Saccharomyces cerevisiae S288C: one gene and its partner. The protein of the gene in region 2 interacts with the protein of the main gene of each other region in a biochemical or structural test. Each region holds a gene or a part of one and is shown on either strand. Other genes may lie near its edges. The genes, in order: TCM62 and SDH2.

Evidence for each region.
Region 1: the proteins of SDH2 (region 2) and TCM62 form a complex in vitro, tested with the Saccharomyces cerevisiae proteins (one study listed by BioGRID).

Annotation. Positions count from the first base shown.
Region 1 is NC_001134.8:323,538-327,801, forward strand, and holds TCM62 (Tcm62p), read right to left. Parts: upstream 2,523-4,264; coding exon 804-2,522; downstream 1-803. Other genes in the region: QDR3 (Qdr3p), read right to left, coding at 1-408. UniProt on the Saccharomyces cerevisiae protein: Chaperone. Required for the assembly of succinate dehydrogenase subunits. Ensures mitochondrial gene expression at elevated temperatures and prevents heat-aggregation of the ribosomal subunit VAR1.
Region 2 is NC_001144.5:52,600-56,037, reverse strand, and holds SDH2 (succinate dehydrogenase iron-sulfur protein subunit SDH2), read left to right. Parts: upstream 1-2,106; coding exon 2,107-2,907; downstream 2,908-3,438. Other genes in the region: membrane morphogenesis protein VPS13, read left to right, coding at 1-1,827. UniProt on the Saccharomyces cerevisiae protein: Subunit of succinate dehydrogenase (SDH) that is involved in complex II of the mitochondrial electron transport chain and is responsible for transferring electrons from succinate to ubiquinone (coenzyme Q). SDH1 and SDH2 form the catalytic dimer.

The DNA of each region.
Region 1 (4,264 bases), on a different chromosome or scaffold from region 2:
TGTTGTGATTGAGTTGATCGCTGGAAAAATGATAGATGTGCCCATGGGGCCCATCATGGAGGAAAACGCAATCAAGAAGACAATCATCTTTTTCATCATCGGTGGATAATCTCTGGCATCCTTGAACTCCGGTATAATGGCGAGTTGAGGCAATAGTCCCCTACGTTGATTCTTTGGAACAACGTATTCCTCACTCTTCAACCTACTTAGCTGGTTGTCTCTGTGTTCACGACTATTTGATGCCGTACTTTCCAGATTGGTCTTTTCGTAACTATAATCGTTGTGCTCGCTGTGCGGGCTGCCGCTGCTTTCATCGCAGTGCATCATAACATGATTGTTCGGTAGTGAATTGTCAGAGCAATTACTCCTCAAAGACCCTACATTCGATTGTGAACCTTGGGCTTGCATGTTTATCGCTTTCTGACTTCGGTCCTAGCATAGACGTTAACAAGTTAGAAAGATGTGAATACATATGCCTTCAACCCTGTTTTCTTTTAAGGATACAAGGACACAGCTATTACAACAAATTTTGTTGGTTTCTATCTTATCTAATCGATAATCTTTTAATATTTTAATCTAATCGCAGTTATCCAAAACTGGAATGAGATGGTTCAAATCCCCAAAGGTAGATGGAGTTACTGCTGAGGCGTGGAAAAACCCGAGTTTTTCCGAAGCCGCATATGAGAAATTGAGCAGGAATAATAGATATTTACGAAGAGGTAAAAGTGATAAAAGGCAGCGCCGTGGCAATATCTATTTACAATGACTCATTCTGACTATTTAAAAGTATGTAAGGGCTTTATCTAGGCTTTGTGCCGTTCAGGCTTTTTGTATACACATGTGATAATTGTATTACAGCTTGTAAGTAATTCAATGAACGTTTCTACACCGGCTAAACAAGAATCCATTTTGCTCCATGGCTCCAAGTTTCCATCCTTTACTGTGTTCACCGGTTCTGAATTTGGAGAAAACTTGGCCATTGGAAACGATTTTTCGTTTATAGCGCCTGCTATCAGGCTATTGATCTCATAATAGTTGTACCCATATGCATTCTTAAACGCCACTTCTGATGGGAGAATAACTGCTGATAAAACAGCATTGATGCCTACCTTAGTCATGAAATTGGGTTCATTTGCTTTCAGTTCATTCAAACCTGGAATTGCCTTCAGTAGGGAGATGCCGTAACCTGGGATGAAACCTTTGGCCAGCCCATGACATAGGACGTTATTTAAGCAATTATCTATTGCATTTCTTCTTCTGTCGATTTCGATTTCGTTATGTCCACCAATGCTTAAAGTGACCGTATTTTGGAGGAAGGATTTCGGAACTTTATTTGGAATCGCTTCAGCATCAATGGAGTTATATAAGAATGCCTCCCCTGTGGTCGCTTTTATGGATTCGATACTGCCGTAATATTTATCCGCACACATTTTGCTTGGCACTAAAGGACTATATTCTGGTGAGTAGATGCTGTCATATCCGCAAGGCAACCGTAAGAACTTTATAAAATCAAGATTCTCCTGTGGCGCTAAGTCATTGTTCGCCTTTTTAGAGTACTTCAAAACCACTATTCGGCTTTCATTATTTTCTCTCTTGTTTCTGTTATTGTTAATTGTAACGGATGTTAATGCATCACCTGTGCAATCTCCGTTAACGATTAAGAGAACAGATTTTCTCAACTTTCTTGCATACGTTATCGTGGGTAGAATTTTATTAGCGTCTCGTAACGTCCCATCATACATAAGAACTAGCATATCTTTATCAATGGAAACTAATTTCTTAGTAGGCAACTCCAGGGACCTTAAATAGGCTTCATTACTATCTAAAATACCAGCTGGATATTTCCAACCCTTGGATACATCAACCTCATCGTAAGTTTTGTTGCCGTTTATGACCCGCACAATGTCATCCGAAAACAATTCATAATTAATGGCTTTCAAAACCCTTTTGATGCTTTGGCTGTCTGAGGAGGACATAGTCAATTGCTCGACCAGAGCATCAACATCGTTTTGACTTTTCACTATAATCTTGTTCTTCGCAAGAAAATCTCTGATATATCGTAATCCGGCCTTGATCCCATTGGTCACTTCTTTTTCGGGATACTTGAAATAGTGCTCCAGTAAAGAGCATGTCAAAGATGTTGAAGTTGCTGTTAAGTTGTCCTGAATGCAATCCATGAATAATTGTAGACCAACCCTCCCCAGCTTTCGAGGCCTGTTTGATTGAAGTCGTGTGTTGGTAGCTTCATCTACTTGTAGGGAATCTAGTAACTCACGCATTACATTGTGAAGTCTCATGGTATCATGAGAACTAACGACCTGTGGCTTGGATTTATACTTAGGTTCATATATCAATGTTTTATTGTAGGAGGATGAAGTTATTATTTTTTCCAACAGCTTAATACCAGAGAGCGTATCTCTGAGAACCTGAAGGTTTTTTGTTCTATAGATTGGGGTGTGTAACGTTTTTACCGAACATTTCGTTTGATGATTTCCCAATTTCCTCAAACAATTCCTCAGCATACTCGTTAAAGCATAAGAGAGTTTTATGTTTACAGTAGTGTGGGAGAAAATAACGCCAGGTTAAAGCTCGTAAAAGGTAAACTATCGCACTATCGAAACTTTTGTTTCACAGGGAATGGAAGAAAGGGCCTTTATTTTTTACATTTTTTTAAGCCATAACGGATTTTAGTTACCGAGATTTTCAATCCTATAAGAATTACCTAAACTATTAAAAGCGGACCCATCTAAAACATAACGTTCGGCAAGTAGATGTATTGTTCCAAAAAGGCAATACATCCATACAACGGTGCCACCGATCTGTAATGAATGCTCCGTAATGTTTGGGGGATTCATTAAATTTACTGCTGGAACCGAGAGAGAAACACGACAGAGCAATTCATATAAATGAATAAATGAAAACTCGGTCGTATTGCCCTTAAACGTTTATAGGACCAGGTTGGCTACTTCCTCATCTCAATTTTGTGATAGGGGAGGTCTGCGTAAGGAATCAATTCGGATACCTTGGTAGTACTTTTAGGGGCACATTTTTTATTTCTACTTCTTGTATTATTAGGTATCACTGAGATCTATCTCTAATGATGCCTTCACTCCCACAGATAGCGGAAGACATTAATGCACTTCAAATCAAAACTTCTTCAACTAAAGCTACTCTTTTCGAACGCAGAAGATATAATTTCATTCCTAGAGACTTTCTACGAACCTAAAGTAGCAAATTTAAAAAAATAAAGAGTTTGATCCAACCGAGGTTCGAACTCGGGATCTTCGCCGTGTAAAGGCGACGTCTTGAACCACTGGACCATTGGACCCGGAACTCGATACTATGTCATTTTTGGATATCGGTTAGTTGTATACATTGGATATCTCATCTAAAAGCATTACGCATGCCCTATAACTGGTAAATTCAATGAATGTTTTGTAAGTTGAGGGGATGCTAATTCCCTACGAAGTATTTCTATATTATGTGCAACTACATCAAGAAGATAATATTAAAGTTGTTGGAATAAGAATCTGTTGGAATGGAAATCAACTATCGTCCATCAACTATAGTTATACTACTGGTATTATCATATACGATGTTAGATGATGACATAAGCTATGAAAAAACTGCCATTGAAGTTAAAGGAAGCTGAAATGCAAAGATTGATAATGTAATATGATAATGAAACATTTAAAACGGAATGAGGAATAATCGTAATATTATTATGTAGAAGTATCGATTCCATTCGAGGATTCCTATATCCTCGAGGAGAACTTCTAGTATATTCTGCATACATAATATTATAGCCTTAATCAATAAAAACCCCAAGAATTACCTCAAAATTCACCAATATCTCAAAATCAACCTTCATCTGTCTACCAGTAGTCATATTATTATATGTTATCATATACAGTGTAAAAAAGATGATATAAAGATTGAAAAACAGTCATCAGATGTTTGGGAAGCTGAAATAAAATATAGTAGGACAATGGGTGACAATATATAAAATGGAGAAAGAAATAGTAGCCTTATTACGTAAAAGTATCAATCTCTTTTGTAAATTTTTGTATCCTGGGGAAGAACCTTTATCATATTCTCTATTCCTAATGTTATAACCTTAACAACAACGAAATCCCAAAAATTATGACAAAATCCACCAATATATCAAAATTCACATAAAGAAAGCCGTATTCTATATAACATTGCAGAACATTTTTCTAACACATTACCAATCGTCAAAGTTCTGCCTTTACTAAATCAGGTG
Region 2 (3,438 bases):
TTAGTTATTGTTAACTATAAGGCCAATGTTGGGTTATACAAATTGAAAACTGCCTCTGCAACTACCACGTCTTCAGTTTCAGTAAATAGTTCAGTGACTGATGGCTTTGTGCAAAAGGATGAGGATGAGAAGGTTAATACACAGATAGTTGTTTCGTTCAAAGGAGTTGGTATCTCATTAATCAATGGTCGTTTACAGGAACTTCTATATATTAACATGAGAGGGATCGAATTAAGATACAATGAATCTAAAGCATACCAGACTTTCAGTTGGAAAATGAAATGGATGCAAATAGATAATCAATTATTTTCAGGAAACTACTCAAATATTCTATATCCAACAGAAATCCCCTACACAGAAAAGGAAATTGAAAATCATCCAGTGATATCAGGTTCTATTTCTAAAGTCAACGATTCCTTACAGGCTGTCCCATACTTTAAACATGTTACGTTATTAATCCAGGAATTTTCCATACAATTAGATGAAGACATGCTGTATGCTATGATGGACTTCATAAAATTCCCAGGATCCCCATGGATCATGGATTCAAGAGATTATAAGTACGATGAAGAAATCCAGTTACCTGATGTTTCTGAATTAAAAACGGCGGGTGATATATATTTCGAGATCTTCCATATTCAGCCCACCGTCTTACATCTGTCCTTTATACGCTCCGATGAAATTAGTCCAGGATTGGCTGAAGAGACCGAGGAGTCATTTTCGTCATCATTGTACTATGTCCATATGTTTGCTATGACATTAGGTAATATAAATGAGGCGCCGGTTAAAGTTAATTCTTTGTTCATGGATAATGTAAGAGTCCCATTGCCCATTCTGATGGACCATATTGAGAGACACTATACGACCCAGTTCGTGTATCAGATCCACAAAATTTTAGGATCAGCAGATTGTTTTGGTAATCCTGTAGGTCTTTTCAACACAATTAGTTCCGGTGTCTGGGACTTATTCTATGAACCATATCAAGGTTACATGATGAATGATAGGCCTCAAGAAATTGGTATACATCTGGCTAAAGGTGGACTAAGTTTTGCAAAGAAAACAGTCTTTGGCCTCTCTGATAGTATGTCCAAGTTTACGGGGTCGATGGCCAAGGGCCTGTCAGTTACACAAGATCTGGAATTCCAAAGGGTCAGGAGATTACAACAAAGAATAAATAAAAACAACAGGAATGCCTTGGCAAACTCAGCGCAATCCTTTGCCAGCACACTGGGAAGCGGGTTGAGCGGAATTGCACTGGACCCATACAAGGCCATGCAAAAGGAAGGCGCCGCTGGTTTCCTCAAAGGCCTTGGTAAAGGTATCGTTGGGCTGCCAACTAAGACAGCCATTGGATTCTTAGATCTTACAAGTAACTTAAGTCAAGGCGTGAAAAGTACCACCACTGTGCTTGACATGCAAAAGGGTTGCAGAGTGCGTCTACCAAGGTACGTGGACCATGATCAAATCATCAAGCCTTATGATCTACGTGAGGCCCAAGGACAATACTGGCTCAAGACCGTGAATGGAGGAGTATTTATGAATGATGAATACCTGTCGCACGTTATATTGCCAGGCAAAGAACTAGCAGTAATTGTGTCCATGCAGCACATTGCTGAGGTGCAAATGGCCACCCAAGAGCTTATGTGGAGCACAGGATATCCTTCCATCCAGGGAATTACATTGGAAAGATCCGGTCTTCAAATTAAACTCAAGTCTCAATCCGAATACTTCATTCCCATCAGCGATCCTGAAGAACGTCGGTCCTTGTACAGGAACATCGCCATTGCTGTTAGAGAATACAATAAGTACTGTGAAGCTATCCTATGATCACATATGAAAGTATATACCCGCTTTTGTACACTATGTAGCTATAATTCAATCGTATTATTGTAGCTCCGCACGACCATGCCTTAGAAATATCCGCAGCGCGCAAAAGGCGGCCTCGCATTGGCCCAATTAGCTCCGGTGTAAAAAGGGCAAACTTATATAAGGGGATTAATGACTTTCTATGAGAATGCCAAAAAATGTTAGGCTAAAGGAAGGGATTGAAAGGAATATAGTTGAGCTATACTTTCTTGAAATACTGGAGTATACATATTTATAGGGATGTTGAACGTGCTATTGAGAAGGAAGGCCTTTTGTTTGGTGACGAAGAAGGGTATGGCTACTGCCACAACAGCTGCAGCTACGCATACCCCCAGATTGAAAACTTTTAAAGTTTACAGATGGAATCCAGACGAGCCAAGTGCTAAACCTCATTTACAGTCATATCAAGTGGATCTGAATGACTGTGGGCCCATGGTACTTGATGCGCTGTTAAAGATCAAAGACGAACAGGATTCTACCCTAACTTTTAGAAGATCATGTAGAGAAGGTATCTGCGGTTCATGTGCCATGAACATTGGCGGTAGAAACACGCTAGCTTGTATATGTAAGATCGACCAGAACGAATCCAAACAACTCAAGATCTATCCATTACCCCACATGTTTATTGTCAAAGATTTGGTACCTGATTTAACTAACTTCTACCAACAATACAAATCTATCCAACCTTACTTACAGAGATCATCGTTTCCAAAGGATGGAACGGAAGTGCTACAAAGTATTGAAGATCGTAAGAAACTGGATGGTCTTTACGAATGTATTCTGTGTGCATGCTGCTCTACTTCATGTCCATCGTACTGGTGGAACCAAGAACAGTATTTGGGCCCTGCCGTGCTAATGCAAGCCTACCGTTGGCTAATTGACTCTAGAGACCAAGCTACAAAGACAAGAAAGGCCATGCTAAACAACTCCATGTCATTGTACAGATGTCACACCATCATGAACTGTACTAGAACTTGTCCAAAGGGCTTGAATCCTGGTTTGGCTATTGCTGAAATTAAGAAATCTTTGGCATTTGCCTAGACTATCAGAAAAACAGCTAGCCCCGAAGAACTCAGAAGCCTCTCAAATGATTTTGGCACTAATAAAAGCACCAACTATTATTATTATTATTTTCAAGGACGAAACTCACCATTCTCACACATTCCTATACGTTAGGCGTTTATGTTTACTCTCTATGACTATTATTTATTTATCATTGGCAATGCTATGACCCGGTCTGTATATATGTCCATCATAGGCGACAAGGTGTTCTAGTATCTTCAGGTATTGTTGTTTTTAAGGATGAATTTATATCTTTGTTTTTGAAGGGCCTTTTGGCTTCTCTCCCCTATTTATTCAATTTATAACTATTTATTATATTAATACACGCGTAATGCTTAAGGTTTATTATTAAAGGACTGTTTTTATATTTACATGCCTGTAGTTAATTATATTTTCGTTGTGAAATTTCTGTTAAGAAACTCTATATGAAAGGTAACGAACTTAAAATTGAAAAGCAATGAGAAGAGAACACCATGAAAAAAAAAAAAAAAGGGCTAAAAAACAGAATTA